4 linked regions of the Struthio camelus genome follow. The protein of the gene in region 4 binds, or shares a complex with, the protein of the main gene of each other region. Links are inferred from orthologs where the notes say so. Each region holds a gene or a part of one and is shown on either strand. Other genes may lie near its edges.

Evidence for each region.
Region 1: WDR5 (region 4) and DR1 share a complex: the UniProt entries of both Homo sapiens proteins name them as parts of the ADA2A-containing complex. The link is inferred for Struthio camelus from reciprocal best matches to the Homo sapiens genes WDR5 and DR1.
Region 2: WDR5 (region 4) and TADA3 share a complex: the UniProt entries of both Homo sapiens proteins name them as parts of the ADA2A-containing complex. The link is inferred for Struthio camelus from reciprocal best matches to the Homo sapiens genes WDR5 and TADA3.
Region 3: WDR5 (region 4) and PHF20 share a complex: the UniProt entries of both Homo sapiens proteins name them as parts of the NSL complex. The link is inferred for Struthio camelus from reciprocal best matches to the Homo sapiens genes WDR5 and PHF20.

What each region holds. Positions count from the first base shown.
Region 1 is NC_090949.1:18,518,206-18,525,497, reverse strand, and holds the start of DR1 (protein Dr1), read left to right. Parts: upstream 1-4,286; 5' UTR 4,287-4,679; coding exon 4,680-4,899; intron 4,900-7,292. Other genes in the region: retinol dehydrogenase 8, read left to right, coding at 157-250, 2,057-2,240, 2,849-3,082. UniProt on the Homo sapiens protein: The association of the DR1/DRAP1 heterodimer with TBP results in a functional repression of both activated and basal transcription of class II genes.
Region 2 is NC_090955.1:9,933,952-9,941,740, forward strand, and holds the start of TADA3 (transcriptional adapter 3), read right to left. Parts: upstream 3,017-7,789; 5' UTR 2,934-3,016; coding exon 2,727-2,933; intron 2,550-2,726; coding exon 2,299-2,549; intron 2,120-2,298; coding exon 2,014-2,119; intron 611-2,013; coding exon 469-610; intron 167-468; coding exon 63-166; intron 1-62. Other genes in the region: ARPC4 (actin-related protein 2/3 complex subunit 4), read left to right, coding at 3,679-3,681, 4,153-4,271, 4,951-5,062, 5,145-5,240, 5,384-5,554, 6,111-6,116; tubulin monoglycylase TTLL3, read left to right, coding at 7,330-7,413, 7,489-7,633. UniProt on the Homo sapiens protein: Functions as a component of the PCAF complex. The PCAF complex is capable of efficiently acetylating histones in a nucleosomal context. The PCAF complex could be considered as the human version of the yeast SAGA complex.
Region 3 is NC_090959.1:1,298,321-1,305,784, forward strand, and holds the start of PHF20 (PHD finger protein 20), read right to left. Parts: upstream 3,012-7,464; 5' UTR 2,870-3,011; intron 398-2,869; exon of another isoform or gene 358-397; intron 1-357. UniProt on the Homo sapiens protein: Methyllysine-binding protein, component of the MOF histone acetyltransferase protein complex.
Region 4 is NC_090961.1:4,664,581-4,672,516, forward strand, and holds the start of WDR5 (WD repeat-containing protein 5), read right to left. Parts: upstream 3,010-7,936; 5' UTR 2,791-3,009; intron 2,370-2,790; exon of another isoform or gene 1,983-2,369; intron 1,192-1,982; 5' UTR 1,081-1,191; coding exon 1,000-1,080; intron 108-999; coding exon 1-107.

The sequences.
Region 1 (7,292 bases), on a different chromosome or scaffold from region 4:
ATAAACAAGGATTTTTTTATGTTTTCCCAGCAAGACTGTAGAAATTTGGGGAAAATACAAGTGGTTCTTAAACTAAAAGATTAGTATAACAAAGAACTACAATATAAGTATGTCGCATACAATCACATTCTCTGGATGTTTTGTTTGTGCCATCAGGTATCTTATTTAATGATGTTTATGCTGCGTCTAAGTTTGCTGTGGAAGGATTCTGCGAAAGCTTAGCTATACAGGCACTCAAGTTTAAGCTCCAGTAAGTATGGATCCACAGATGTGAACTATATTTTAGTTTTAAAATGTATTCAGAGCTAGCAAACAAATGTTTTAAGCTTGCTACTGTCTAGGAGAAACAAACTGAGGAACCCATGGCAACTGTACACCACAAATGGCACAGAAATGTTCTCATCCTTCAAATGAAACAAACCCTTAAAAAGGCTTAGATGCTAACGAAGCATGTTATCTTGAATAGCGTAAGGCTGTTTAGCTTTGAACAAAATAGAGGTCAATGTACTTCTTAAAAATACCGATTCTTGCATACGATACCATTTGAATAGAATTATAATACCAACCTGTAATACTTTCCTTTAGAAAGGATAAGAGTCTTTATTTCTTAGACAATCCAAAGATTAAAAAGTTCAAGGGCATCATAACAGAGAGAATGCAGTGGAAATTCATCAGAAGGGCACACAGACTGAGATAACCCCTAGGGGCTGGAGGTAAAAGGAAGGCAAGGAACAATTTAGTGTTGCAGCGTAGTATTTTCTTACTGTTTAAGACAGTATTTAAGAGAATGGTCCAGTCGGTGGCCTGTGGGATTTAGGTGTCTGATTTGTCACCTATACATTCACATTGGCATATTACAGGATGAAACTTTGCTGCTACTTTGTATGTGTGAAGTCCAACAATTGTTAAACATCCAGTGCACCTGTGTATGCCGGAGCATTTAGCCCTTGTGCTGTGGGAGAAGAGACAGCTGCTTTCACGTGATTCCAGAGACAAAGCTGCATCCAAATGGGCGTTTTGCACCCAGCTCTGAAAAGTCATGATGTAATGATATACAGGGTATGATAGAATTTATAAGATTTCAAGACTCTGAGATACAGAGGAAAGGAGGTAAACAAACAAAACGTGGTGCCCAGCAAGTAGAATGGAAAAAGTCCAAGGCCCAGTGAGGAGACTGACAGCTTAAATGATTATATTACGCAAGCGAAAAGGCTGTAATTCCAGCAGCAGCTGGAATTCTGCTGTCAAGGTCAGTAGCTTCTAAGGTTAGTAGTTCTAAAGAAGAGCCTGAGCAGAAGTCATCTCTACGAAAAAGTCCTATCCAAAAGAGTTGTTTCATAAGCATGGTGGCTGGAGGTAAGTACTACCTGAGAGTAGAAATGGAAAACAGTTGGTCAGTAAGTGTACGTATTTCAGTGATTTGCTATAATACATTACTGATCAAAATCTGATTTTCCAGATATCTGGTAAGGCAGCAGCCAAAATCTGTCCATCCACAGCAAAAATCTCCATATTGTATTTTATATAATTTTATAGAGTGCTCTGCAATTATGTAACGCTGAAGGCTTGACAAAGAAAATCTATTTGGGCAGTTTCCTTCCCCCCCCCTCCCTCCCTCACCTTTTTTTTTTCATTTACTTTGAGTATTATCATGTGAAAGCTATGGTAAAGAAATCTATGTAGGATTTTGTCCGGAAAGTAATGAATTTTGTAATCATCCTTAAATTGCTTTTCTTAATCTTTGAGGAGATCTCATGGCTTAATCATCCTCAGATTCCACAGTTGTTAGACAGCAGGTAACAACTGCACTCAGTTCTGCCACAAACTAAGTTAGAACGCTTCCCAGAAATTAAATTATCCTTTTTTTCTACATCTACACGCGGATGGGTAAGAGCTGCAGGCCAGAAATGTGGTATGGATCACCATTACAGAGTGTACCATTCAATATTGCTTGCTAACGGGTACTGTAACTATTCAATATCCTTTAAGAAGGATAGCTGCATGTATTTCCCATGCAGAAGACTCTATAACCAGTGTATCTTTGCTCTTTGAACAGGTTAAGTCTGATTGAACCCGGCCCAGTGGTCACAGAGTTTGAAAGAAAAGTTTTTGAAGATGGAATGAAAATGGATCTTTCAGCTGCAGACAAGGAAACAGCTGAGATGTTTACTAACATTTACCTTAAAAATTACAAACAAATTTTCCAGAGCCTGGGGCAAAGTGCTGAGGATGTTGCAGAGGTAACTCATCAACAATTCTCTTTTTTTTTTTTGGGGGGGGGGGGGGCGAGGGGATGTGTGTGTTGTAATTTAAGAATTACCAAAGAGTTTAAAAGACAGTTGTGAAACCGGTAAGGTACAATAAAGGATATAGTTTCCGTTGTTTGAGGCTTTCTGCAGGAAGCAAAGTCTGGAAAGTTGGGGGAGAGAACAATGACTTCAGGTGCTGGCTGCTAAGGGATAGCTTGGGTGTCAGCTGAAGCTTCCTGGGTCTTGTTGCAAAGTGCACCATTCTCACCCTTTTCCAGTGAACTGTAAAAGGAGGTATCTATCTATTGAGGGCCTACATGGATAATCTTGAAGGACTACTCAGTACACTTAGGTGTAAGGTGTCATCACCATAGTCTAGATGAACAGAAATAGGATTAAGAAGAAATAAGAAGTTTTTCTTTTGGCTTAAAATTGTTCTAAGAAACAATTCTAATTAAATTCTAATTAAATTTCATACAGGGTTTTACACAACTCTAAAATTTATTCTCCCACTCTTCCTCTGCCTAACTTATCAAAATAATAATTTAAAAAAATGATTTTCAAAGTTCTTTAACGATTTACTTTCTCGTTCTTGACAGCATACAGTAAAGATAATTCTTGCAGAGAATCCGCCTTTTCGCCATCAGACCAACACCTTGTATACTCCGATGACAACTCTGAAGTATGCAGATCCAAATGGAGATCTACCCATTGATACATTCTACAAAATGGTTTTTCATCATGACAAAGTCTTCAGCGCGAGTCTTAACTTTATCAAACTGCTAAGGTGGAGAAGTAGAAAGAGCTTTGACCTGGGAAAACCCTCACAATAAATGCCAGTTTATTCTGTGTACATCTGAATAATTTGTTCTAGCTACTGATAACACAGTATGTTGTTATTAAAATGTATTTGCTCTGTAATTGTTAAAAAGGCAATCAAGATGTTTGTTTGAGCTTAGCTAAGATATTCAGCTCAGTTTATTTATCTTGAACTTTACAGTTTCCAGACTCTTGAAAGTAAAATCTTCTACAGGTTTGGTCAGTTTAGCTCTTGCCTTTTACAGAGATCAGTTTTTGTGGAAATGTGAACATTAATTGACATTTATGTATTAAATACTAATCTGATCCCCTTCACTTACTAGACTATAACATAACCTGAGATGTGTACTGCATGTAAATTATGGATAGATTCTCAAATCATAAAATTATTTTATCCTTCTGCTTACTAGTATGGTAACTCCTCAATCACAGTAGCATCACACTTCCAGAAATCAGGACTAACTGCAGAATATACAAGAAAAATACTCGTCAATCCTTTAAAAAGTGCAACTAGAGTATTTTAATATTATTTTTACATATATATATATATATATCACGTTATGAATACTTGCTTTATAGGCAGTGGTTACTTGCTGACTACAACTAGTGGACAATAACATTTTTTTTCAATTGCTTCTTACCTTGTTGTATTTCCTGCAAAAACAGAACCTTATCACTAAAAACTAATGTGAATCCGTTCCCTTCCTTGGGCAATTTCGACGTTAAAAACACTGGAGTGGCTTTGCTTCCCCTTTTAAAAGGAAAATTACACGAAACTCGCTACGGCAGCAGGAGCCGTCCTCGGCGGCTGTCCTTTCCCCAAGCCCCCCTAAGAAGTACCGTAAGCAGGAGGTGCAGGTCCTTCCCTTTCCCTTCTCTTCCCCCTAGCGCCGCAACTCGACTCAGACCAGGCCAGCAGCCTAGTTTCAACCGCGGCTGGCCCGGCGCGGCCCTCCGCGCTGCCGCCGGGCGTGACGGAGCGCCGCCGGCCACGCGCGGCAGCCCGCGGCCCCGGCAGGGCCGCGCCACGCAGCAGCCGCCCCCGCGCCGGGCTCACGCCCCGCTCGTAGCGCCGCCCCCCGCTCCCAGGCGGCCCGGCCCCTCCCGCCGTGCGGCGCCGCCGCCCGCCCCCTTCCGGCGGTCGCGGCGAGGGGCGGGGCGGGGCCAGGCGGCGGCGGCGGAAGCTTGACCCGGCTTCCGGCGGAAGCGCCGTGGCTGGCAGGTCGAGCCCGTGCTCAGCCCGCGCCGCCGCCGCCGCCGCCGGCCGGGGGAGCCGCCGTGCCCCGCCGCGCCGCGCCGCCCCGCCGATTTGGCCGCTCCGCTGCCCTCCGCGCGGGTCATAAGGCGGCGGCGCCGGCGCCCCGAAGGATGTGGCGGAGGCGGCAGTGGCAGGCGCCGCGGCCGAGGGAGCCCTGAGCCCGGGGCAGCGCTCGCCCGCTCCGCGCACCGGCCCGCGACCCCGCCCGTCCGTCCGCGCCGCGGCCGCGCCGCGCCTCGCACCCCCCTCCCTCCCCCCCCGCCGCCGCCCCGCCCCGGAGCCCCGCGCGGCGGCCGAGGGGGAGCGGTGAGCGCGGGAGCGCAGCGCCCCTCGGGGAGCGAGCGGCAGCCGGCATGGCCTCGTCCTCGGGCAACGACGACGACCTCACCATCCCGCGGGCGGCCATCAACAAGATGATCAAGGAGACGCTGCCCAACGTGCGCGTGGCCAACGACGCCCGGGAGCTGGTGGTGAACTGCTGCACCGAGTTCATCCACCTCATCTCCTCCGAGGCCAACGAGATCTGCAACAAGTCGGAGAAGAAAACCATCTCCCCCGAGCACGTCATTCAAGGCAAGTTCCCGCCGGCCCCGGAGCCGCCTGTCGTCCTGCCGCGGCGGGCGGGCGGGCGCGGAGGGAGAGCGCGGGCGCCGCCGCCGCCGCCGCCGGGGCGGGCTGTGCGCGGGGCTGCCGCTCGCCCTGCGCCTCTGCGGCCGGAGCGCGGCCTCGGCCCTCCCGGCGGCCGCGAGGCGAGGCCGGCTCCTTAGAGCCGGAGACCGCCTGGGGAGCCTGCGCTTCTGAGACGTCTTTCTGGCTGGAGACTCCCAAAAGGGCTAGGTCGGGGCAGGTGGCGGGGGCGGTGCGGAGCCCGGTCTTCAGTCCAGTCTCTTTGCCTGGGTCACGTAAGGAGCAAAACACACCTACGGGGCTGCCCGCGCAGCTGGATGGCTCAAGAATCGAGGGTTCCTACCCGCTCTAGGAAGCGTTTGGACGTGACATATGCTACTGCATCTTTTTCTGCTGTTGACTTGCACTTCCTCTTGCTGAATAAAAAGAGAGTTCCCTCATTCGTTTTTCTTTAAATTCTTCCACAAACAGGAAGACTTTTTTTAACCTTATGCTGAAATCTCGAGTGGGCTTCTTCTGTCCAGTTTCATTCGTATCTGGTTTCATTCGCTTTGCTGCTTAAGCAAAGGTTGTCGATATCCATGTCTGCTGCAAACAAATGGGTAGCAATGATATTGAAGGTGGCCAAAGTGCTTCATTGTGCTGCCTGGTAGAGCTGTTAAGAGTAGTATTTGCAGTAGAGCTCTTTCCAGGGCTGCAAAGGTATCGGGTTAATGGGAAAACGATATATTTTTTGTATGCTTTGTTTTTGTAACAGGCTAATAGATTCTCTACTTAAACCAAACAAAAAAAAAAGCCCAAAATCAGATTCCTTTGTGTTATGCCAGCTTGCTCACCAGAAGCGTTTCAGTAGCTGACTGGATTTTGAACAACAGAAGAAAATACTATATATGAGCTTTAATGTTGAACGTTAAAAGCATGCATTTTAAAATTGGTAACAGGAAGTTCAGAAAAGCAGCTCAATTACAGAAGTTCAGGATGTAAAGGGTGAAACTTTTGCTTACGCGTGGAAATATACTTGTGATATGAAGCTTCTTAATACATAGAAAGTTTCTTCACGTGATCACCAAAAGATTTGAGCTCAGTCCTTCACATAAGACTAGAGATGGTCTTTAAGGTTCAGGACAATAAATAGTTCACTTAAAGTATTTTTCTGCCCATTAGTAGTGGTTCTTGGAAAACTTTCGCTTGTTGCTATCCTAGGGTTAGTCTGGATTTTTGAAAACAAATGACACTTTTTTGATAGGATATCCAAAACTGTAAGAGTAAGTAGAAGTTGAAATCTTAGGACGGTGCATATATCATCATGAGATGGTCCCCAAGCAAATATTTTGTCTATGCCTCCTTCTATGTCTTTTTATCATCAGATTCCAGGGTTAAAAAAAGGTTAGTTTCAAATTAGATCTGTCCATTTTAGTCACATTTTTACCAAATAAAGCTTGGAGGTGTATCCTTTTTATGATACTCCAGAGGAGGAAGGAGTTGTTCTTGGATTTACTCTTGTCCTTATCTTTAAGGATGTGCAGGTGCTATTCACTTCTTCCAGACAGTGGTCAGTTAGCAGATGATCTCTCTGTGGAGTGTGAGGATTTAGATCAGTCATTTTGGAACTGCTGAGGTTATGTGTATATAGCCATAGCATTTCAGCATATTTGTAATTAGGTCTTCATACATCCTAGATGTTTGCTAGTTTGAATACCTCTTGGCATGGTTTTGCCACAGTGATGCTAACAAATTCAGTAATACACAAATACGTTGTTGTCTTATGGTCATCTAGATATCTTAGTCCTTTCAATTGCTTAAACTAGCTTATTTAGAAGTAAAAGGAGGCTAAGGTATGTCACGTCACACCTGGTCCAGTCTAAATAGCAGCTGCTGTCAAAAGCAGCCTTGTTCTGTGCCCTCCCTGGAGCTGGATCTAGCAATCACACAGCCGCGGGGTGAGCTGGGGCAGTTGGAATTGGGAGGGTGCATAGTTTTCTATCAGGTGAGCTTGTTGATCTGACTCTTGCAGACATGCAGTTACTAAATTGAGTGCAACGGGCAGGGAAGGCGTTTCACTGGGAAGGAGGATGAGGAAAGAAGGTAGATCTGCTCCTTTTGGTGACACCCTGCAGTTAGACTGTGGTGGAGGTAATGTGAAACTGCAGTTTGTCACTGTAGGCAACAGTGGTGCATAAGTCACTTGCTCCTTCGCTGTGCTAGCGAAAACGATTGTGTGACCATGTGGTGAACTAGAGCCTTCTTCCTTGCTGGGCTGTGTTCAGGGGGAGGAATTCCCTGCCCCGTCTCACTGTGTGGTAGCACAAACACTTGCCCTGCACAGTGCTGTGAACCAA
Region 2 (7,789 bases), on a different chromosome or scaffold from region 4:
AGTTTACCGAGCTGCAGTGACACTGCCCGACAGAGCCACAACGCAATCCCGAGCCCTCTCACCTCCACAAGGGCCTGCAGGAGACGCTGCGTCAAGGGCCCGAAGGGGCACCCGTCCTCAGGCTGCTCGTGCTGGGCCTCCGACTTCTTCAGCAGGGCATCAACATCTGGGAGGAAGCAGGGAAAACAGTGAGCAGCAGGGGAGAGGCCAACGCCTCAGCGGGACTCCGGTGCAAGGTGAACTGTTCTCTCCTCTGCAGGGACAGCTTTACTCCATTCTGTCTCTGCCACCTGAGCCTCCCTGCAGCTGCGCTCGAGTTGTGCCCTCCCCAGGGCAGCCACCGGAAAGGGAGGAACCCCCAGGGCAGCAGGGCCAGCGTCCCAGGGGCTTGGCTGTGCTCCGTGTAGGTGCCTTGCAGCCCCCTCCAGGCCGTTCACAGAGGGCAGACGCAGGCAGGGATGGAGGCACCTTTAGTGTCCAGCTCAGTCAGCGGTCCCAGGATGCCTTTCTTCTTGTCAGCAGCAGCTGCTGCCCGGGCTCCGTCCTTCTGCTCCTCCAGCAGGTCCTCCTGGGCCCAGCGCTGGGAGTAATGCTTCCCCAGAGGCGGGATCTGCAACCACAGGACAAGCGAGAGCAGCGGTCAGCACAGCGTCCCAGGGCCCTCGTCCGCGCCAGAGCTCAGGCACGAGGAGACGGGCCCTGCCGTGCCACGGAGCAGGCCCTACATCCAAGGACCCAGCCCCGCACACTTCACCTGGCTCGCAGCCAGGCCAGTACCCGGCTGCCCTGGGGCTCTACAACCCTATCCCCAGGGCTGCTCTCCCGCTTTCCCAAGGCCTGGGCCCTCCCCTCCTCTCCCACAGCTCCTGCGCAGAGCAGATGGCAGAATTCGGCACCTCCAGACGCGGCCCTGGAGGCGGCGCAGCTGCCCGTGAGCTCCAGGGCCGAGCTCCTCGGCAGCCGCCCTGCCCCTTTGGCTGGCCCGGCGCCGTTCGGCTTGGCGGTGCCACCGGCCGGCGCAGACCCCAGCGAGTCTTTAAGCTACACAAAGCGGCAACCACAAGCTGCACTCTCACAGGAAGAGCAACCACAACGTTATGAGTGAAATCTAAAACCGTGCTACGGGAAGAGCGTTTTCCTGATCGTGACTCAGCCATCCCCACTGTACAAGAGGCACGGGCCCGTCACACACGCAGCGCTGGCAGGACACGACCAGATCAGGGAGCTGGTACCGCGAGCACCAGCCCTGGTCACAGCGTCTTTGATCAGGCAGGGAGCCCTCACCCAGGGCTCTTCTGTAGCCGAGACCAGAGATGTCATCTCCACGTGTGGAAACTGTGGCTATCCAACAGCACCACACGTGTAACGCAGCAGAGGTGAGAGCAGCCAAGTCTCTCACCCCATCCTGGCTGCTACTTCTCATCTCCACAACTGCCCCCGTTCCCCAGTTCTTCACCCGCTTACAAGCGGGTGACAACAAAAACAACCGTCTGCTGCCGGTCCTCTTCCCTAGAGCGTGTAAAATCCTTCTGCTCGGCTCCCTAGAACAAACAGAGCCCTGCAGCTGGCACAAGGGAAAGGGGGCTTGGGGTCTCTCAGACAAGGGTCCAGAGAGGTCCCTTGTGCTCAAAGTTGGATGTAACAACAGGAACTCTGCATGTAAGAACACCACGAGTCTCACAGGCCGGGACCACGCTGCAGCAGGAACAGACAGACTACAGCTGGGCACTGCCTCCCAAGGACAGGAAAGCGCACAGCAACAACCTCAGCACTGCCCCAGAACGGGGGCAGCAAGTTGCTACCTCGTGGCCGCAGCCAAGACACTCTCTCACGGGAGCCAGAAGAGAAAAGTGTGCAGATAAATTCCTGCTTTTGCAGGAAAAAACTAGTATCATCCCCACAGGGCGAGCGTTCACTGTAAGGCACAAGACTGCATTGACAGGAGACTGGCCCAGGATTAGAAAACAGACAGGAAGAGAGGCTACAAGACTGGGTGGGCTTTAGATCTTTCACCTTGTAATGCTCAGCCTCGTCCTCAGGCGGCTTGAGCAGCTCTTCCAGGACTCTGACTTCCTCGTTGGTGAGGTCGGCGCAGTACGGCTCCACCGAGGCCCAGAACCTGCGAGGACGGAGCAAACGGACAGTAAGGGGGGGCTGCAGAGGCACAGCGTGGGCCGCGGCAAAGGCCGACTCACACCCCCCCTTCCCTCCAGGGCACCTCTTCCCTCGGGTCCAAGCCAGCCCTCTCGCCAGGAGCTGCAAGGAAGGAAACGGATGATCCAAATGTTCCCCATGCACCTGTTTGGAGCATCATTTTTGGGAATCCGGGGAACATCAATGGGATCATCTGGGAACTCGTATTCCTGGATCTTGGGCTGCAGGTTCTTGGATTTGGGCCGACCAGGGCCAGGCCCTGTCCCGTGACCCCCTTTGCCCTCCAGCTTCTGCTTCTTGGGCTTCCCATGTTTGACAGAAGTGCCCACATCATGCTCCTTGCTCAGCTTCAGGAACCGCCGGTCACCCTTCTTGTCTTGCCAGTCTGTCAGGATCTGGAAGAGAGCAACACCATGTCATGCCACACAGCGCAGCCTGGGGACGGGCCCGCTGCCCACACCAACGGCAGCCCAACAGGCCGCCGCAGCCCCTCGGCGTGAACGAACAGGCGAGGGAGCGGGCGGCGGGCCCCAGCGGCCCTCGCCGCGCGGGGCAGGCGGCGGCGCCCGCACCTGCGTCTCGGCCTCCAGGACGCGGAGGCGGCGGCTGGCAGAGGAGAGCAGCGTCTCCAGCTCCAGCTGCAGCGTGTCCAGCTCCTCGATGCCGATGCCGTCGTCCTCGGAGCGGGCCAGCACGGCCGTGTAGCGCGGGCACACCTTCACGTGGTCCACCGACTTGAAGTCGTGGAACTGCAGCGGGCAGTCCTTCAGCTCGCTCATGGCGGCGGGCACCGGGGGGAGCACACGGGTGTGTTCGGGGGAACGGGGCGGGGGGCAGAAGGATCGGGGCACTGAGGGGAAGCGGGGGGGGGGTGGAGAGAACCGGGGTGCTGAGGGGAACCGGCGGAGGGGGGGGGTTGGGACCGGGGCGCTGAGGGGGCGGGGCCGGGACGCAGGGAAGCCCCGGGGGGGGGGTCGGGGAGGTCCCGGGGGCGCCGGGGCCGCCCGGAAGGCGCCGGCGGGGCAGCGCGTGCCGCGGCCGGGCGGGGGGGCGGCGGCGCCGCGGGGCGGGGGCGGCCGGGAGGGCCGCGGGGGGCCGGGCCTAGGCCGCTCGTCCCTTCCGGCCTCCGTAGGCCAACGCCGCGCCCGCCTTGCCCCGCCCCACACTTCCCATTGGCTGAGCCGCGCCCAGCACCCGTCGCCTATTGGCCCGGCCCACGCTCTTTTTGCCTTCCCTAATATGGATGCAGTGACGGGACTATACCAACGCGGCGGGCGGGCGGGGGGGGATGAGCGGGCCGCCGCCATCGCGCACCGCCATCGCGAGCCGCCGTGCCCGCCGCCGTCACTTTCCTCTGCGCGGTGAGGCGAGGCCAGCTCGGTGCGGCCCGCGCCCTTCGGCGCGCGGCGGGAGCCTCCCCCGACCCCCCCTCCCGCTGCAGTGGGAGCTCCCGGCCATCCCGGAAGAGAGGAGCCGCCGGGGACAGCTACTTCCGCCTGCCGGGACCGGACCGGAGCCGCCACCATGGTAGGGGGGGGGGTGGCGGGGGCTGTGTGGCTGGGCCCGGGGGCGGATGGAGGGACCTGGCGGGGGGGTTGGCGGGGCCTAGGCCGGCAGCGGACCGGGGGGCGTTGATGGGGGTGGACTGGGGGCGGGCGGGGGGGCCGGGGGTGAGGGGTCCTGAGGGGGGCGGCTGGGGCGAGCTGGGGGTTTAGGGGGGCGGCAGGCCCGAGTCGGGGGTGGGGGGGTCCTGAGGGGGGCGGCTGGGGCGAGCTGGGGGTTTGGGGGGGGGGCGGAAGGCCCCAGCCTGGGGTGGGGTGGGGGGGCTGAGGAGGGCAGCTGGGGCGGGCTGGGGTTTTAGGCGGGTGGGGGGGGCCTGAGAAGGATGACTGGGGGTTTGGGGGGGCGGCAGTCCCGAGCTGGGGGTGGGGGGGCCCGAGCCGGGGTGGGGGGCAGTGGGCCGCACCGTTTGCCAGCTCTGACGCCGTGTCCCCGCAGACCGCCACGCTGCGCCCGTACCTGAACGCGGTGCGCGCCACGCTGCAGGCCGCCCTGTGCCTGGAGAACTTCTCCTCGCAGGTCGTGGAGCGCCACAACAAGCCCGAGGTGGAAGTCAGGTACGGCCAGGGGGCGGCTGTGCCTGCGGGGCCCCCGCTCCGCTCGGGCCCTCCGCCATCCTTTCGTTGGAGGCAGCTGCCCCCGGGCTGCTGCTCTGCCTCTGGCTGGTTTCCGGGGCCAGCGTGTCCCTGTGGAGCTGTTGTGCTGCGACGCTGCCAGCTCAGCTTTAGCAGCACGGGGAAAACGGTCTCTGCTCTGGTTTTAGTGCACTGAGTCCAGCACTGTTCCTGAGCCTAGCTGAGTCCTGGTTTTGGACACTGGGAACTGAGTCCTGGTTTTGGACACTGGGAACTGAGTCCTGGTTTTGGACACTGGGATGGGTTAATTCTTGTTGGGGTTTTTACACCAAAAAACAATCCCATCTAGTCACTGCTGCCTTTGCTTAGCATGTCTGGGCCTGACGCGAGGGGACTGTGCAGGCTGGAGAGGCCTCTGCACTCAGCAGCTGCCACCAGGCAGCGATGGGGCTGGTCAGCCCGGGAGCTGAGAAACTGCAAAGAGGAGGGAGGATCTGCCTTCATGATGCGTGTGCCTGGGAGGTGGAAAGCATCGTGTTGGAGCACAAAACAAACTCCCAAGTGTCCGTATTGGCTGTGATCCCTGCAGCTCCCTGCTTGCATGCCCTGTGTGGCCAGCAAGTGCTCGTTAATCAGTGCTGAGCTTCTCTTGCATCCACAGAAGCAGCAAAGAGCTGCTGTTGCAGCCAGTGATCATCAGCAGGAACGAGAAGGAAAAGGTCCTTATAGAGGGATCCATTAACTCTGTGCGAGTCAGCATTGCAGTGAAACAGGTGAGCTGGTGGGAGGGGAGGGAACAGGCTGGTGGCTTGTGTGTTGCTTGGAGGAAGCCTCACTTCTGCTTTCTCTCTGCAGGCTGATGAGATCGAGAAGATCTTGTGCCATAAATTCATGCGTTTTATGATGATGAGGGCTGAGAACTTCTTCATCCTGCGCAGGAAGCCTGTGGAGGTGAGGTGACCCGTGGAGCTGCAGAGCAGCATCCTGCTGTGCTTTTGGCACTGCTGGGGAGAGGGGGGTCTCCGGAGCCGAAAGAGGACGTGTGCTCACGGGGTTGGTGCGCTAACTGTTTCTGCCACTTCTCTCTTCTCCAGGGCTACGACATCAGCTTTTTGATCACAAACTTCCACACAGAGCAGATGTACAAGCACAAGCTCGTGGACTTTGTGATCCATTTCATGGAGGAGATCGACAAGGAGATCAGTGAGATGAAGCTGTCTGTCAACGCCAGGGCTCGCATCGTGGCAGAGGAGTTCCTCAAGAACGTGAGGCTCTAAAGCGGGAGGCGATGGTTCCCGTGTCTCTGGACGAGGGTGCAGCTCCGGCCTGCCGTGACCCTCGCGCGCGGAAGCCTGGCCCCGGGCTGTCCCCGTCTGTGGCGCAGGTGGCGGCAGCCCCCTGGGAAGGTGCCCTTTGGGGCAGGGGAATCACGTGGGGAGCGGGTGGGGGTACCTGGAAGAGCTACTGCCCGCTTTGCTCCCTCCTCAGTGAGAGAGGAGCGCAGCGTGACGCGCCAGCTTTGCAAGGCTGCCAGCGGGCTGGCGCTTTGCTAGGGCGCGAGCGGCAGCTGCGGGACGCGGACTGCTGAGACGAGCTGCGCGGTCCCCAGGGCGAGGGGAGGCAGGGAAGTGAGCGCAGAGCTCCACAATCCAAGCAGTGCCGAACGGCAGTTATCGTTCGTCTCCGTCCCTGCTGATCAGCCAGACGTGGCTTGAGGCCGCCTCGGCGCAGCGCGGATGGCACGCTGGGCGCGGGAGGGGAGGGCGAGCGCGCGAGGAGCCGGCAGTCAGCGGCCCTGTGCCTTCCCTTCTTGCCTTGCAGTTCTGAACCGTGGTGCTGAGCTCCCTGGCTTCTCCGGCGTCCCCGCGGGGCCGGCCGCAGCCCGGCCTCGCCGCCTGCGGAAGAGAGGAGAAGCCGCCAGATGCTACGGAGCCGTCCGCGGGGACGGGCGAGAGGACCGGGTGTCCTGAAGCGAACCGTGCTCGTGTCAGACCGTGCCGACTCCCTGCTCTTCGTTCCTCCTTTGGTTTTTTCCCTCCCCTCCCTTCCCCCTTTGTTTTTCTTTTTTTTAACAATTCCTCGTTTGCTGTAACTCGGCTGCTCGCTTCCCTCCTGCCTGGCGGTGGGGGACACCGTTTCCCCCCCCCTCCCCGCGCCGGTTCTTGAGCGGGGGGGCGGGGCCTGGCGGCGCAGGGGGCGGGGCCTGGCGGCGCTGCCATGGCAACGCCAAACAGCGGGGGCGGCCCCGACGGTGCGGGCCGGGCCGGGGCACAGCGGGGTCCGGGGGGGGCGGTATTTAGGGGGGCTGTGGGGGACGATGGGGGATGAAGGGGGGTCGGGGGGGGGCATGAGGAGGTCTGGGGGGGCTGTGTTGGTGCGGAGGGCTGGGGGGTAGGATGGTGTCGGTGGTGGGGGCACGAGAGGGGCTGGGGGGGCACGAGGGGGGCTGCAGGGGCCGCACGCGTTGCGCTGCAAGCTCCGGAGCGCGGGGCGGAGGAGCCGTGCGGGCGCCTGGGCCTGGGGCCTCTCCAGGCTGCCGGCACCGTCCTGCCACGGCTGCGCCAGCCCCGGGGCGGCAGCGAGCACCCTGTCTTCTCCCCCCGGGGCGTCCGACGGAGGCAGCGCCGCTAGCGGCTTCTCCGTGCCCCCAGGCCGCCGCGGGACGCGCCATGGCTCGGGGGCCGGCAGGCCGCCGGCGGCCGCGGGGCGAGCAGCCCTCGGGGTGAGGGGCGGCGGGCTGCGCCTGCAGGGCTGCAGCCCCACTGCGGGCACGCCGCCGGCCCCCTCGGAGCCCCCCGGTCCCGGCGGGCGAGGAGGGCAGCTCCAGGGTCGCGCCGCTGGGCCGAGGTGCCGCCATGCGGATGGAGCGGGCGGCGGAGAAAGGGGCTCTGCCTCCCCCCTTCCCGGAGGGGCTGCCCGCCCCCACGGCCGCCCGGCGGCGGCGGCAGGACGGTAGGAGCCTCTCCCTCCCCGGCGGCCCGGCCCGGCGGCGAGGTGGGGGCTGCCGAGCCGGGGCTCTTCTCCCCCAGGGCGCGCGGCGATGGAGGGTGGCGGCGGCGGCCGCCCCTCGCTCAACCCGGAGCGCCTCAAGCGGGTCCGGCTGCGCGTGGAGAGGGCCATCGAGGTGAGGGCTGCCGCCGGCCCCCCGGTCCCTGCGGCGCGGGGCAGCGCGCTCAGCTCCACCGCCGTCCCTCACCAGCAAAAGAAGATCTTCATGCTGCAAGGCCCCTACCCCGTGATCCGGAGCCTGCTGCGAGCCCGCGGCTGGGTGGAGAAGAAGTTCTCCCTCGCGTGCGAGGCAGGGCCCGGGCGCCAGCGCCTTCCCGGTGCCGCCGCCTGGGAAGGTGAGGGCGGCGTGGGCACGGCTTTCCCCAAGGACCCCAAAATTTTCTGTGCCCGGACTCTCCGTGCTCCCCGCGGCCACCACACGGCGCGTGAGCTTCCCGGGGCAGGGCCTGGGGGTGCTGCGAGCCCCGGGAAGGGGACCTAATGGTGGGATG
Region 3 (7,464 bases), on a different chromosome or scaffold from region 4:
GGCAGACTTCAGCTGGCTGTATTCAAGCAAGGTTGGCCAGAAGTACTCAAGCCCAGTAAAAAACAGACAAAGGCTTGTCAGCAAATTAGCAAGACTCAAAAAACAGTAAATATTACATACTAACATGCACTATTTTCTGCCACATGCATCTGCAGTCAGTGAGAACGGCCACACTATACATCTACACACAAGTGATCAGTTAAATTTGGTGCTTCCATCCACCAAAAAATGCTTTTTACAAGAACACTGCCTGAAAAGCCACCAGTCCCAAGAAGTTTTTTGGAAGATATAGGTCATGCTACTACTGGCATTTTGACAGTAAGCACCAGATGACAGCACTTAGTCACTATTTCTTACCTGAAGAAAGTCTTTCTACAGGAAGCACAAGATAACAACCCTGTGGACAAGCAAGTAAGAAAAGTATGAAAATGATAAAAAAAATAAAACAAAGTAAAAAAAGAAAAGTAGACATGTAGAACTGCTGACAGAGCCGCTACAAACGCTCCACAAAACTTTTCAATATAAATGCAACAGTAAATCCAAAATATCTACAACTATTTTTTTTTTTTAAACCCTGCACCCACACAACTAGGCAAGAATCAAGAACACAGTTTAAATACTGAGCAAGGGCAACCACTTGCAGGGCTAAACAATAAACCCTCCCCCATGCACATTCTTTAGCTCAGCTCACAATGCTGTAGCCCAAGTGCTCACATCTGCACAGGACAGTGCCATATGGGCAGAAATGAGAAGTGGCAATATGGCTTTTCTATAACAGTGTTAGCTTATGTCAAGGTCTGACAAATTACAACCACAGACACCATTTAGTTTCCAGAGATGCAGTCACAGATCAAAGATACAGTTACACAAAACTTAACATCCCCTACAAATAAATTAGAGATCACACTCTTTCCTGAACAAGGGGGAGAATTTAGGTCAATATCATTGCCTAGGTGATCCAGGATGTACAAGAGCAAAAGAGTGGCTTCAGAGAACTTACCCAATTAAAAGTAAGAATTAATTATGCGCTTCTTAAGTTTCAGCCAAGACAGCACTGTTATGAGCAATTAATATTCTAGCCTCATTCCCAACTTGACCTTAATTAATTACCCTGGATTGCAGGCAAACAGATTTTACTCTCAGAACAATGAAGTAAAATTTTATTTCCATTTAGGAAACACTAACAAAGTTATCAGCCAGAACATAAACTGAACTCTCCCACAAGCTAACTTAAATCAAATAACAAGTCCAAGTCTTCTTCAACTACAGAACTATTAAGACACACAAAAATTGAAAAGAGAATCACACTATGAACGATCCTTGTCGTAACTCTTCTCACTTCACTTTTCTGGAAATAGGTCCTGTGAAGCATTCCTTACTCAGATACAAACAAATAAACAAACCTAGATCAAAAGCATTTCTGTTACATACTTTCTTAGCTATGACCTTCTGCACAGATGCCTACAAAAAGTTGTTTCAAGTTATTTATTAGTATAGTATTTTAACAAATAGGGTTTCATCTACTACAGCATACATTATTAAACTACCTACACTAACAGAAGGGAAGAAATATATTTTACCCAGTTTGTACTCATCCACACTCAAATATCCCTTTTGATCTGTTTTCACATGTTTAAATTAGAAACACTAGCTTGGGATCAAAGAAGCATTTCTAGCACTGGGAAGACTTCAAATAGGTAAAGGAGATGTAAAGGTTTCCCAAAATTGCACTGACAGCCTGCTTCAATTAACCAAGCCCTACAACCATTATACTATGCATGTGCACCTCAAGCCAACTGGTCCTATAATCCAGTTGTGGGGCAATAAGCCAGTATAGTGGAATTCAGATCTCCTAGGGAAAAAAAAAAAAAAAAAAAAAAACACAGCACCTCCCCATTCTGTATGTTAAACAGGTATGACACGAGGTAACTTTTGGATCATTGCAAGGACCTGTCTTTACCTCCCTTTTTAAAAGGCTTTCTGAAAGGAGAAAAACCAGAAGGAAGGAGATGCATTCCACACTTCTGCTGACACAAAAAGGCCAGAAACCTCCAGCTGACGGTACCACCTACAGAAATCAACACCTTGCAGGGCAGGTACCTTGCCCCGTGCAAGGTTGTTCCCGCTTCGTCCCCCGGGGCCCGGCGAGAAGCGGCCGCCGGCGCCCCCCCCGGGCCGCGCCAGCACCCGCCGGGAGCGCCCCGCGCCGCTTCCTGACGCGCCAGCAGCGCCGGCCTCCGCCAACGGCCCCCGCCGCCGCGCCCGCGCCCACCGGCCGACCACAGCCCGCGGCGACACCGCGCAGCCACCCGCCGCGGCCCCGCCCGCGCCCGCGCCCCGCCGCGGGATACGGCCCACCGCGGCGCCGCCCAGACCCGGCCGCCGCCGCCGCCGCCGCGGCCCCGCGCCGGCCCCGGCGCCGCTGCAAGGTCACTCGGCCGCCCCCGCCGGCCGGGCCCCGCCGCGCCTGCGCTCGGCGCGCACATACTCACCTGCCCGCGCCGGGCCGCGCAGCTCCGCGGGCGCCGGGAGGGAGCGCGCTCGGCCCGCGCCCCAGGCCCCCCCGGCCTCAGCGCCCCAGGCCGCGCCGCGCGGGGGCGTGAGCGCCGCCCGCCCGGCCACCCCGGGGGCCGCGGGCGCCATCGGGCCCGGACTGCGGCGGGGCCGCCCGGGAGGAGCCGCCCGCTCCGGCGCGACGCGGCGCGGCCCTTTGTGCGCGGGGACGCGTGCCACCCGCTCCGCGCCCGGCCTCCCTCCCCTCGCCTCGCCTCGCCTCGCCTCGCCCCGCCGCAGGGCCCGCAGCGCGGGGCAGGCGGCGCTGGCCCAGCCGGCCCCGGCCCGGCCCGCCCGGGCGCTGCCGCTCTCTTACCGAGGGATCTGTACGGGAAAAAGGGGTTAGAAAGGAGCTAAACCGCCGCCCGGGCCCCGCTCCGCGCGCCGAGCCCAGCGCCACCGACCGCGCAGCGCCACAAAATGGCCGCCACGGCTGCGGCGCCGCCAGCCGCCGCGAGGGAGGGGGCGGGGCCTGGCGGCAGGGGCGGGGCCGGATGCGGCGGGGCGGGGCCGCGGGGTGGGCGGGGCGGGAGGCGCCGCGGCCCCGTCGAATTTAGCTTGGCGCTGGGAATGGCGTCGTGGTCCCCCGAGGCCTGCCCGAGGAGAGGCCCTCCTCTGCTGGGCAGCTCTTCACGGGCGGGCCCGAAACCCTGCGCTGGCTCAGCAGCTCTCCATTGCAAGCTCCTCTTGTGTGCAAGAGGGCCACAAGCTCGGTCCCGGCAGCTAAAGTAGGGGAAAATGGCAGGAAAAAGCCATACTGCTGCATGAGAACGTGCCGGGCCCCGTTGCCAGGGGTCCGCAGGCGGGAACACACGGCATTTCGGGGGGTACAGTGAGAGCAGTGAAGTCCTTTGCTGACCGATCCCAGACGCTGGCTTGCAAGGAATAATTGGAGCCGCTCGTGTGCACAACTGGCAGCGCCACAAGCGCTTCCTTTCAGAGAAAGTGTAAAGGAAAAGACTTTTGTATTTTTCAGAGCTCCATAAAACACAGTGAAATATGAGCAAAAATGAAAGCAGACTGGCAGTCTGGGTCCACCATGAACTTCGCTGCTCAGATGGCTGGTTCAGCACCTCTCTGAGGTCTGTTTGTCTGCCTAAGCATAAAAACAGAAAAGGATTTAGGGAGGATGTAATCTGAGCAATGTAATGGCTCATAGAAGGGCGATCTTCGAATCAGGCTACTCAGGGCCTTATCCAGTTGAGTTTTGAGTATTTCCAAGGCAGCAGTTCCCCTGCCTCTTTGGGCCCCTGGCCCAGAGGGCCACTGCTCTCACGGGGAAAAGTTTTTCCTTTATGTCCAACTAGAATTTTCTTTTTTGCAGCTTGTGCCCCTTGCCTCTTGTCATGGCACACCTCCGAGGAGGGGCTGGTTGCGTCCTCTCTACAGCCCCCTGGAGGCAGAGAGACCGCTCTCAGATCCCCACGGAGCCTTCTCCAGGCTGAACACCTGCAGCTCCTCTGGCCTTGCCTCACGCCCACCAGCCTCTGAGCATCTTAGCAGCCATCCGCTGGACTTGGGCCTGTTTGGTGACGTCTCTTGCTCTGGAGGGCCGAAACCAGACACAGATAAGGTCTCACCAGTGCCAAGTACTGGGGAATTACCACTTCCCTCAACCTGCTGGCTACACTTTTGTACAGCTAGGGAGCTCTGCATTCTTCCATAGATACAGCATTTTACAGAGCCAATGAAAGAAAAAAAAAAAAAGAAGATGAAGAATTTGAGTTTTATGCTAGGTTAAAGCCAAAACCAAACTGATACAGAAGAGCAAAAATCTTTGCAGGCTGAAGTTCTCAACTGCAAATATTCCGGTATTTGTCACTGTGAGAGAATAACCTCTTCTGCTTCAGGTGATTTTCTCGAGATAATCCATCATTTTTGTGCTCAGCGGCCAAGCACAGACAAGTGCGTAATTGTTACCTATCGGCTGTTGGGAAAAAAAGAGTAACTGCTGTGGCCACGGTATGTGCAGCGAAGGGGATTAGCATGCAGTGAAATCTGTGGGTACTGACCGGCTCTGGAGGAGGGCAGGGGAGAGATTAGCCAGCCGCGACGACTGTTTCCTCCCGACAGCACACAGCAGCCTGCGGGGCACGTCTGGGTCCAAGCCCCCCTTATTAAAAGGGCTCATCATGGGGCAGAAACAATTCTGAAGTGATTAGTTAAATTAGTAAAGTTTTAGTCTATCATTAAATGTTTATAATTACTTCTATTACAAATTATTATTTCAGGGAGAAAAGCTGGAAAAAAATAATTTCCATCAGAAAGGAGTTGCTTTTCTTTTTTTTTTAATTTTCAGTTTACCAGAAAAGTCAAGTACTGGCATGCCCTGTCTCCCTGCCATGTATCGCCAGAGTGTGGGTTGGGTGCAAAGGAGTAAGTGGGCAAAGCACAATCCTGACTCTAAATGCCTTTCTGCTTTGTCTTCCTCCTCCCAAATACCCACAGAAAGTGCTGATGCTGCAAAAAATCTGGCTGCTCCGATGACATCAGCCTCACCCCAGCGCCCTGAGCAGCGCAGGATCCAGAGCGCACAAAGGTGGGTTTAAGGCAGAGTCGCCCCCCCCCCCCGCACTGTTTAGCTCCCTGCCCGCTTACGCTTCTCTAATAAAGCAGCGCTTGTGAGCTGTGCACTGGGAATTTGTGGAAGCAGAATGACTTACTATAAATACCATCACAGAAAAAAAAAATGTGGCAGAAAATTAAGCTTATGAGTTTGATTTTTTTTTTTTTTTAGCCTGGAAATCTTGTGTGTGGTTTAAACACTAAAGGTGTCTGGAGGCAGGAGAAAACAATTCAGAATGAATTAAAATAGGAAGCAGCTAAAAAGAAAAATCACTCCAAAGTTTTGAGGGAAATAGATTTTCTTTTTTTTTTTTTTTTTAACTCTCACTAAAATGTCAGTGTACTGCTTCTGTATTTGTTTTTTAAGAGCACTGTATTTCATTAAGGAGTTTTCATCATTTTAAAAAACACTGAATTTTGGAACATCTGTTATGAAAAGGTATATATCAGAAACCACTTCCTTCTCTGTAGAAGCGGGTCTTTCTAATCTCACTGTTTTTGAGCTGTGGGAAGTAATCCCTTGCTCTTTCGCCCTTTCACCCCCCCCCCTCCCCGAGAGCCGACTGCTCTTGGCAAGCCATGGAAATGGCTATGCCAGTTTGTGCTCTTTTTTTCCTCGTGGCTTGTCCAAGACTTAAGATTTAATATCTGATGTCGGCATTCATGGTTAACGCTGCCGGAAGCTCTCAAACGTTGGCCGTACCTGCCTGTTTGAGCTGACCACAGAGCGGCAGCCCTTCCCAGCAAACAACGCTTCCCTTGCACCGGCCGCTGCAGCGAAGGGCAGGGCTGCGTCTGCCGCGGGGCTGCCGCTGCCCAGCACAAACGGAGCAAGAGCTTCCGCTGCAGCACACCGGACTGAAGTACTCGTTTGCATCGCAGACAGATCCCAGGCCCTCTCCAAGAGAACCCGCTCAGCTAATCTGGGTCAGTTGGGATGCAATGTTTCCCCACACATCAAAGAAATCACTAAATATACCTGCAGGCAAATTAAGCTTTGTGGATCAATAATCCTTTGCTTGTCTTCTCTGGAAAGAGATCCTGTCCTCACTCGCACAATCTTTATTTTCATTTGACATCAGAGGTGGAATAAACCCACCCTGACTTACTGTCAGGGAGCAGCAGGATCAGGCTGCTCCGCCGGGACAGGCGAGCCGGAGCCAAGGTGATGGCAGGGCAGTGCCAGCCCTGGCATGGTGTAGCCTCTGTGCAGGAGGGTCCTGCAAGAGCAGGTCCAGGGTCAGCCAAGAGGCCAGATCATCAGTCAAATCAGGTCCAGGGTCAAGCCAGGAAGTTAGTCCTCAGTACAGGGGCAGAGGCCAGCTCAGTGAAGTCCATGGCCAGGCACATGCATGGCTAACACAGCTCAGGTAGAGGCCAGGGGTGAGGGCATGTGCTTAGACATGGCTCCCGAAGAAGAGGAAGATCCCAGAGAAGTTTCTTCCAGCTCTTTCCCTTCATGGCCAGCCATACAGAGCTGGCCTTGAGCACAGGCAGCTAAACTGGTGGAAAGTACACTCCAGGCCCTGCCACTTCCCTCGCCTGCAGGAGAGCTGAGCTTGTAGCCAGCCTCCCCATCTCTCAACAGAGAAAATCAGGCATGTGGCAAGGGCAAAACATCCAACCAGCCTCTTGCCTGTGCTTCAGCATGAGAGGAACTGTGCTGAGAAAATGCCTCTTGCATTGACTATAAAAGGAGGCTAAACCAGCTCCAGCAGAGCTGTCTGCAAGGCCAGCCTCTGCATCAGTTGGTGTCATCCCATGCAAAAGACACTCCCTTCCTCCTTGATGAGCTACCCAAGGGACCGGCACGGCAGCTGCGAGAGGGTGGCTCTGTGCCTGTAGAGGTTTATCTTTGCCTGCACAAGGGCCTCTGCCAGTGAGAGGCAGGGAGCCCCCAGCTGCCTTCTGCGCAGCCCACGCGGGGTCACTGCTGTCTGTATTATAGCAGCTCATCGGCAGCAGGGAAGCTGCCGCTCCCAGGGGTGCGGGAACCCTGAGCTCATCTACTGCCAGGCTGGGCTCCCCTCTCCCAGAGGGGACCTGGGACTGTCCCACAAGTGGATTTTGCAGAAAGTCTGCCCAGGGTGGGGATTAGATGAGGACCAGCACAGGTCAGTGGAGTTTTTACAGACTCAGCTGGGCATTGTCCCTGCCCTCTTACACCAAGGTGCATGCACCAGTCCAGTGTCCCGCTCTTCTCGCTGTGCCTCACCCCTGATCATACCTGCTTTCATTAGGGTGTTGCTGGAGGTCCCCTCAGGTCTGGCTGAACTCTGGGCCTGGTCCCAAGGTGCACATAGAGGTGGGGGAGGAGGGACTTGCCAAGTTAGTGCCCCTGCCTCA
Region 4 (7,936 bases):
GAGCTGGCTAGCCACTCTCCATTAGGACTAAATTTTACTGACGAGACTGCCTTTGTATGTCCTGCTAACGTGAACTTTAGAGCATAGTTTGGTTTTACTGGTGCAGGCTGTAAAAAAAAAAAAAAATATATATATATATATATATATATATATATATATATACACACACACACACAGACACACACATACATACATGAATGAGTCGTATAAATACCAAACTGAATATCTCAATGACAAGTTCTGTATTAGACCAGGTCACTACACAGTATCAGACTGCATGAATAGTCACCATAATAGATTCTACTGTTTACATTTTCCCCTCTCCAAATTCAGACAAAAATCTTGATGCCTGGAGCAAGCAGTGCCTCACTGCACATGCACAACAACAAACTCATCTTTGGTATGAATTACATCCAAACCAATAATAAATAGGCGAGAGTAATCCAACAGTCCAATCACAGACCGCCTGACAGATTAAAATAAAACACTTAGTGCTATTAAATATTTGTAGTCCTTTAACTTTTTGTGAATCATATCACAAACCAATTCTTCCACATTCCCAAAACCCCAAACATTCTCCCTTCTCACCATTTGCACAGTTTTTGCGGTTAAACAGTGACAACTCCCTTCAACATCCACAGGCCTCAAACAATGACTGCTTCTCCACCCTGCAACTAAGACGGTAAATTCACCTATTCTCCAGTAACGTCTAGGCCTTCCAACACCTTAGATTTCTAATGCTGAAAGGGACAAAAAGTATTTCCTCTGCATGAACTTGAAGAAACAAAGATACCCTAGCACAAAAGAGGTTGTACTTCATCTGCTTTCCCATAAAATCGTTAGCACATTTTCAGTTCAACAGCAGTAGCAGAAATCCCAAGTTCTTAATTCCTATCAGAATTCAATTTCTTAAAAATCTCTAATTCTAGTTTGCCTTTTGAATATGTAGACAGTTTCCATGCGTATTTACAAAGATATTGTTCAGAGGCCCACACACACCTTGCTCTGATTGGTTGAGGAGGAAGGAGTAGATTGTGTTTTGGTGGATTCTGCATCTGGCTTCTTTTCTTCTGTTGCCATGGTTCTGAAGCTGGCAAATGAGACTTATGGTGCTTGAAGGGGAGAATGAATGTGCTGCTTCAAAAGACAGCCTTTGCCACAGAGAGGAGAAATCACACTGGAAATGAAAACCTGGAAGAAAAACAAAGTATCATTAGCTGTCAAAGAAAGATTGTCAGCAACTAGAAGAATGAGATGAGCATAACTGCAGGTCCCCAGAAACCAGTGTTAAAAGACAAAACAAAACAAGAAAAACACGCACTATGGATCTTTTATCCAGAGAACTGAATCCTGCAAGCAGACTTAAGGAAACATCACATCACCAACATAGCAACATTTATTTCATGCGGTCAGATCTATTAAAGTGCAAGATCAAGAACCCAATCTGTGGCCTTTAATCACTTCTTGGAAAGCTGTTTTACACTGCCCTGTTAATTAGAAATAAAGCAGAATAGCTTTTAGGTGTGGCAAGGTTTTTCCTATAATACTCCCCAATATGCCTATGAGAAGTACTTTAATAGCATAGTTTAAAACCATAGACAATGGTTTGCGCAGAAGGTGGAAAGATCCGTCCGAGGCCTTTTTTCAGATGTATCAAGACACAGAACACAAAATCATAATACAAAGAAGAAAGTAACAGGCATCTCCAAAGCTTAAAATCTTGCTAGGTTCCTTTCATCTTGTAATTCAAGTATTCCAGTCTCATGTTTCTCCCCTAAACGGTCAGAGCACCAAATCACGCTCTTCTTTTCCTGAGTCTTTCACCTGACTAAGAGCCAGCCTTGTATTAGTCGCAACAGACTTGCTTTCTGTAACAAAACCTGGTAAAGCGCTGTGCTGGTATTCTGTAATCGGCGCTGATACTGCAGAGGGAACGATCTCCGCTGCAGCTCCGCCAGATTTCAGCTTAGTAACAGACTCACCTCCAGCTCACACGCCAAGGATTTGTCTTTAAAGTACGTTTGCAACATCCCGCTACTGCTACCGCTCTTTTCTGCTGGTGGCAGCAGATTTGGGCGCAACAGCATTTGCTCTTCCAGCGACCAGCGGCATGATAAGCACCTCGTCCTCGGGAGGGCACAGAGCTAAGCGCTACCGGTTGCCTGCCGGCTCTTACAAGCCCTCTCCGCGGCGCGGACAGACGGCAAGAATAAGAAATGAAAACTTTCCTAACCCAGGTCAGATCTTTTTCATCTGGAACTAATCCGGCAGCTCCCGCGAGCGCGCACCCGCCCTGCCAAGGCGCCGCCGGCTGCCGGGGGGCCGCGACGGCATCGCCCCGCGCAGCCCGGCCCCCGCCAGCCGCCGCCGCGCACGCGGCACCGACACCCGCCCGCCCGCCCGCGCCACGGCCGCCGGCAGACGCCCCTGCCCGCCCGCGCCGGGGGAAGTTCTCCGCCGGGAGCCCAAACTTTGGCGGCGGCGCCGCCAGCTCCGCGGTGCGGGGGGGGGAAGGAGGTCGCAGAGCCGCCGCCGCCGCGCCCGCCCCGCGCCGCTCCCGCCGCCCCCCGCGACGGGCGGGAAAGGGAAGGGGGGGGAGGGGGCGCCGCGCGCTGCCTGAGGGGAGGCGGCGGCGGCGGCAGCGCCGCGCGCGCGTGAGGGTGGGAGGGAGGGTGTGTGTGTGGAGGGGGGGGAGGGGGGAGCTCCGCTCCGGCCCCCCCATTCCACCCCACCCCATCCCATCCCATCCCGCCCCGCCGCCGCTGCTGCTGCTGCCTCTCAGTGACTTACCGGGGGAGGGGGAAGGGGCGGGGGAGATGGCGGCGCCGCCGCCTCCTCCGCGGCGGGGCGGGGGGGGGCAGCGCGGCCGCGGGAGGGGAGGGGGGGACGCGGCGGCGGCGGCAGCTCCGGAGCCGCCAGGCGGGGGAATGTGGGATGGCGCATGCGCGGTCCGGGCCAAAGGCTGCACAATGCCGCTCTCTCCCGGGAGCGCTACGGCAAGGCCGAAGAGTCAAAAAGCAGCAAGCGGGGAGGTTTGGGGGGGGGGGGGGGAGCTGGCAACGCCTTAAAGGCGCAGGCGCCTGCTTCACTTCTCCCTTTCCCCCTTGCCGCGCCTTCCACTCGCCTTTTTCTCTCTAGGGTTGAACAGCAGCGGCTAGAGAGAAGGAAGGATGTGCCCTGCCCTCCCTCCGCCGAGGAAGAGGCCTGCAAGCTGCAGCCGCAGCTCCGGGGCGGCCAGGCGGGCAGCCGGCCTCGAGGGCGCAGGGCGGCCGAGGCCTGCGAGGCGCGCAGGGGCCTGCCTGGCGGTGTCGGCCGGGAACCGGCGGTGCTGCTGGGCTCAGCGGAGAGGGAAGGGGTGGCGGGAGGGGTGCTGATAATCCACCCCGTGCTGGCCCAGGTTAACGGGACGTACCCCCCCCCATCACCTCGCGCTCGGCCCTGGGCGGCTTCCCCTCGTAACAGGGAGCGCTCTAGGGGCTGGCGGTCGGGGACGGAGCCCTCTGCCTCGGCCTGTGCTGAATGACAAAAAAAAAAAAAAAAAAAGTAATTCAGCCCGGCCACAGCAGGGCTGGATGTTTTGGGGGTCATAATATGCAAAACAGCACTGCTGAAAATATGCTGCAGTGCTGCGGATAAGAACTGGTAATGAAAAGGCTGGATGCTGATCCATCAGGCTCGACACTAACGCATGTAATGCGTAAAGGTGATGTGTGAGCCATTCAATACCACAATATTTGACTGGGTATGAGTACATCTAAGCCAGTCCTCGGTGTACAAGGGCCCAGACTCAGAAAAGCATATAACTGATTCATTACGGCCAAACAACCTACTTAAAGTTAAGCGCCTGTTTAACCACTTTTCTGGAGAGTAATGTTTTCTTTTTTTTTTTTTTTCCTCCTGAACCACAGCTCTAGGCTGCACAGGACGCAGTACGGTCTGCTTTTAGTTAAGAGGAAAAAAAAGCAAGAGACACGTGTCACTTACTGGCCCTTTAACACAGGAAGATCTTTGGGCTCCAAAAATTCTAGTGGCAGTTGAGAAAGGAAAAAGCTGAAAAAAGCTGCGGTGCAGCGAAGCCAAGGCCCATCTCCTTCAGCCTGGAAACCCAAGCGGAAGTCTGGAGAATTAACCCTGCCATCCAAACGCAGGGAGGAGAACACAGAGATGTAAGAGCTGTGCTGTCCCCAGAACCGTATTAGGAAATGAATCAAGCTGAGTTTCAGTCAGTCCTTCTTCCAGATGGATTTGGCCCGAAGTTTTGTTGTTTGAAAAAAAAAAATGGGGGGGGGGGGTGAGGGAGAAGGCACAGGAGAGTACACAAATCAGCATGATAATGCTATTTATTTGTTCAGCTTTCTTGTGATAGGAATAGAGTGTTTTGTTTCTTTCATGCTGGTTAAAGTTTGTCTGTATTGTGCCACTGCCTGCTTTGGAAGCCCTTGCCTATTATTTTATACATATGTGCATATATATATTTATATCTATATCCTTATCTATAGTGAATAATATATCTCTGGAACTCAAAAATGATAACCCCAGTAACATAGTAACAATTATTCTAAACAACCCCTTGGCTTCTGAATCCTGTTTTTGTTATTAACACATTTGAATGATTTTAAGCAGAGTTTGGCTAAGTATTTGCACACATGCTGGACTGGATTTTTGACAGCATGGCTCATGCAGAGAAAGGAAATGCAGCGAGCAAGGGCATTTCATCAGGACTGAATAACATGAGTGAATACTCAGAGATCCAAAGGACAGCCCATTGTCTTGGGATGAAGCTTAACTTGTTGGTTATGAGTCATCCATGAGGATCCTTCTTGCTCTGATCAGGCTGTGCTGCCGCAGCTGTGATCAGCAGGATGTGCTATCTGTCCAAATTCCCTCTCTGTAAAAGAGTGGGGCTTGGCAGGCTGCTCTCTTGCAAAATCTTTCATTCCATTTGGTTCAAAATAGCCTGAACGTGGTGACCTGCCAAGTACACTGGAAAAGACACCTGTCTGAGAGTTTTTGGAAGGGAGCAGCTTCCCATAATGGTGAAAGGGAAAGAAAAGTCTTTCCGTAAATGGCTCAGAGCATACGAGAGTGACTGCTGTCAGTGCCGCTGAGATCCCTTCAGGTGGCTTTAAGGGTGTCAGGAACTAAGCTGGGGCCAAGGGTCCTGCTGTTGCTAATGTAATAAATTTTGTCACAGGTTCCACTGAGAGCAGAATCAATCCAGTCCTGCAGATCTCATCCAAATGATGTTAATATTTGTGGAAAAGCTCCCACTAACTTCAGCACATGCTGGATCTGCTTTTTAGACTTGTCTGCTACAAACAAGCACATGCTTACGTTTGTGACGGTAAGTAATAAGGCACTAAGCTTACAAGCTGCATTAGCCCATATTTAGGCTTTGGCACAATTAGCAGTCTCAGTTAGGGTTTTTATTTGCTTGGGCCACTCGTACAGCAAACGGAAAGCGCAGGACGGACAGACTGTGTGTTACACACTGTTGAAGAAACAGTAGGAACAAGAAATCGTGAAAGAGACCTGCTGCATCTTTTATACTTTTAAAGAGCAACTGATCCCTGACATGTAGCTGTTTCTGTGTGGTTGCTAATATGCTGCTCTGTTTGTTCTAAATCCCAGATACATCACGTTCATATGTTTCTCCTGGGATTTAAAAACAAACACTGAATGTTTTCCAGGCTGATATTTCTACCTCCCCCACTGCAGTATGAACCTTGCTTGCATCAGTGCCAACATTTGTTCATTGAAAACTAGGAAACCTTACCTCAGTGGAAAGTAGGTAGGATTTGATCCATTTTGCCCAGGGATGGATACGTACAAACCCTCAGCCTGGGCACAGGAACTTATGGAAGCTGAAGAACTTCTTTTGAAATAAGATCATTGAACATGGCATGTATAGAGCTCCATCTCAGTAAAATTCCTGTTATGAAGCGGTCTGCGTTTGTGTAGGAGAAGCTAGGACTTCATGCAGGATTAGGGTCCAGCACAGTGCTGTAATGTATCATTCTGTACAGAGTCTCCCCAATCTCAGCCAACTTAATGCAAAAAGGCTGCTGATTTGAGAGCCTTAGACGGAATCACACGTGATCTGACTGCCAGACGTGATGACAGCCTGCCTCTCCCAGCCACTTCAACTGGAGCAGCAGGTTCTCAGCACTTCTGTGAATCAGGAACTTTGTGCCTGGCTGGTGCAAATGGTTGCAATGCAGATGAATGGACAGTTCGATACAACTAGCTCATATCCCTGTCCTGAGACAGTTTTAACGAAATCTAAGTATTATTATTACTCATTGTCATTGAGAAATGGAAAAGTTTAGAACTGTTATTATTAGATTAGAGCACCTCTTTACCATTCTCTCCAGTCTTTGTAAGAGGGCGGGATGAAAAGGAAGAAAATACACAGGAATCCATTAGGGATTTGGCCAGCTGAAACCTAGCATGTTCTGGTATCTGTCAGTTTAAACTGCCAGCTCAGTAGCACACGCTATTCAAAAGCTTGCTTACCTGTGCAAACCACTGTTAACAGCAGGTGCTGCATATTCGCACCACACTGAACGTATAACAAAACCATTTAGACACATCTAACCAAATAAACGTATTTACTGTGGCAAAGGCTACATAGCCATATCGAGTGAGTGGTTTCTCTTCACTTCTCAGATTCCTTTGGCAGGTCCTTTTCTTCTCTCCTGCAATACTTCAGTGCAGGGACTGAAGGCACAAACCTTGCGTATGGTGAAGCAAGATTATTTATTTCATATTTCGTCCTCTCTTATATACCGGACCCTTATTGTGTAAGAATACGGCTGTGTTTACTGACTAAAGTTGCTTTGCTACGTTACTACAAGCCACGTTCTGCATTAAGATTATCTTCCCTCTCTCACGTCCTTGTCCTAGTTTCAATATCTGCATTCTGATAGCTCACGGGCACCTGCCCGTCTTGGCACTGACACAAGTCTTCATATTATGCACACTTTCCCAGGGCTTCTGGCACTGAGGGAATGCTTTGTTGCTGCTCCTAATCGTCTTCTGGTACACATCGCCCCCGACATCTCCCCCTTTTTGTTTTAACAAAACTGCATACGCTTGTTGATTGAAGGCGCGATCTATCATTCGTTGCACGCATTGTAGAAGACAGGGAAACAGGCACAAACAGACTAAGATTATCAACAATACAATCAAGCCACTCTTCACAATAGTTAATAACCACCCTGTGATCCCCCATCCTGAGAATACTCGTCCCAGCCAATCATTGTCATCTAACCTCAACTTCGCTATGCTCTCCTTCAATCTCACTATACTGTCGTGAATAGATTCTGAGTGATCTGACAAATTCATAAAACACATTCCTTCCAAAATCTCACCCCCGTGGCCATGCGCCAATAATAAAAAATCTATAGCTGCACGATTCTGCAATGTAGCATGTCTTATAGAATCAACATTGGTAAGCAGCCCTGATAGTGCTGTTGCAGTATTATGAGTCTGCTTGGCAAGCCAACACCCTAATTTATTTAAGGTTGCTAAAGCATTTGCAGCAGCGACCCCAGGAGTAAAAAATGGATGCCGTAATAATCTCTCCTGGGTTCCAGAAGGTAAGATCATCTCTACAATCTTTTTGAAAAGGATGTGTAGATGGTCTAATGCGTTTTCATCGTTTTTCTAGAATCATTGTAGAATGGGGCAAATACATTCCCAATGTTACATTACACCATAAAGTTGTATTGCGATAAACAGCTAAAGTAGCATTAACAACTGGGCTGGGTACCTGTAGAAACACAAGCATAACCCCTCCGCCACGTTATCAGAGAAAAAGGTCCTTTCCATTGGCCGGAGTCCAGATCACGGACCATAACTTGTGCTTGTCCTGAAGGAAGAAGGCGTGAAAAAGAGTTAAAATGGGAGGCAACAGGGGTCTGCTCATCACGGA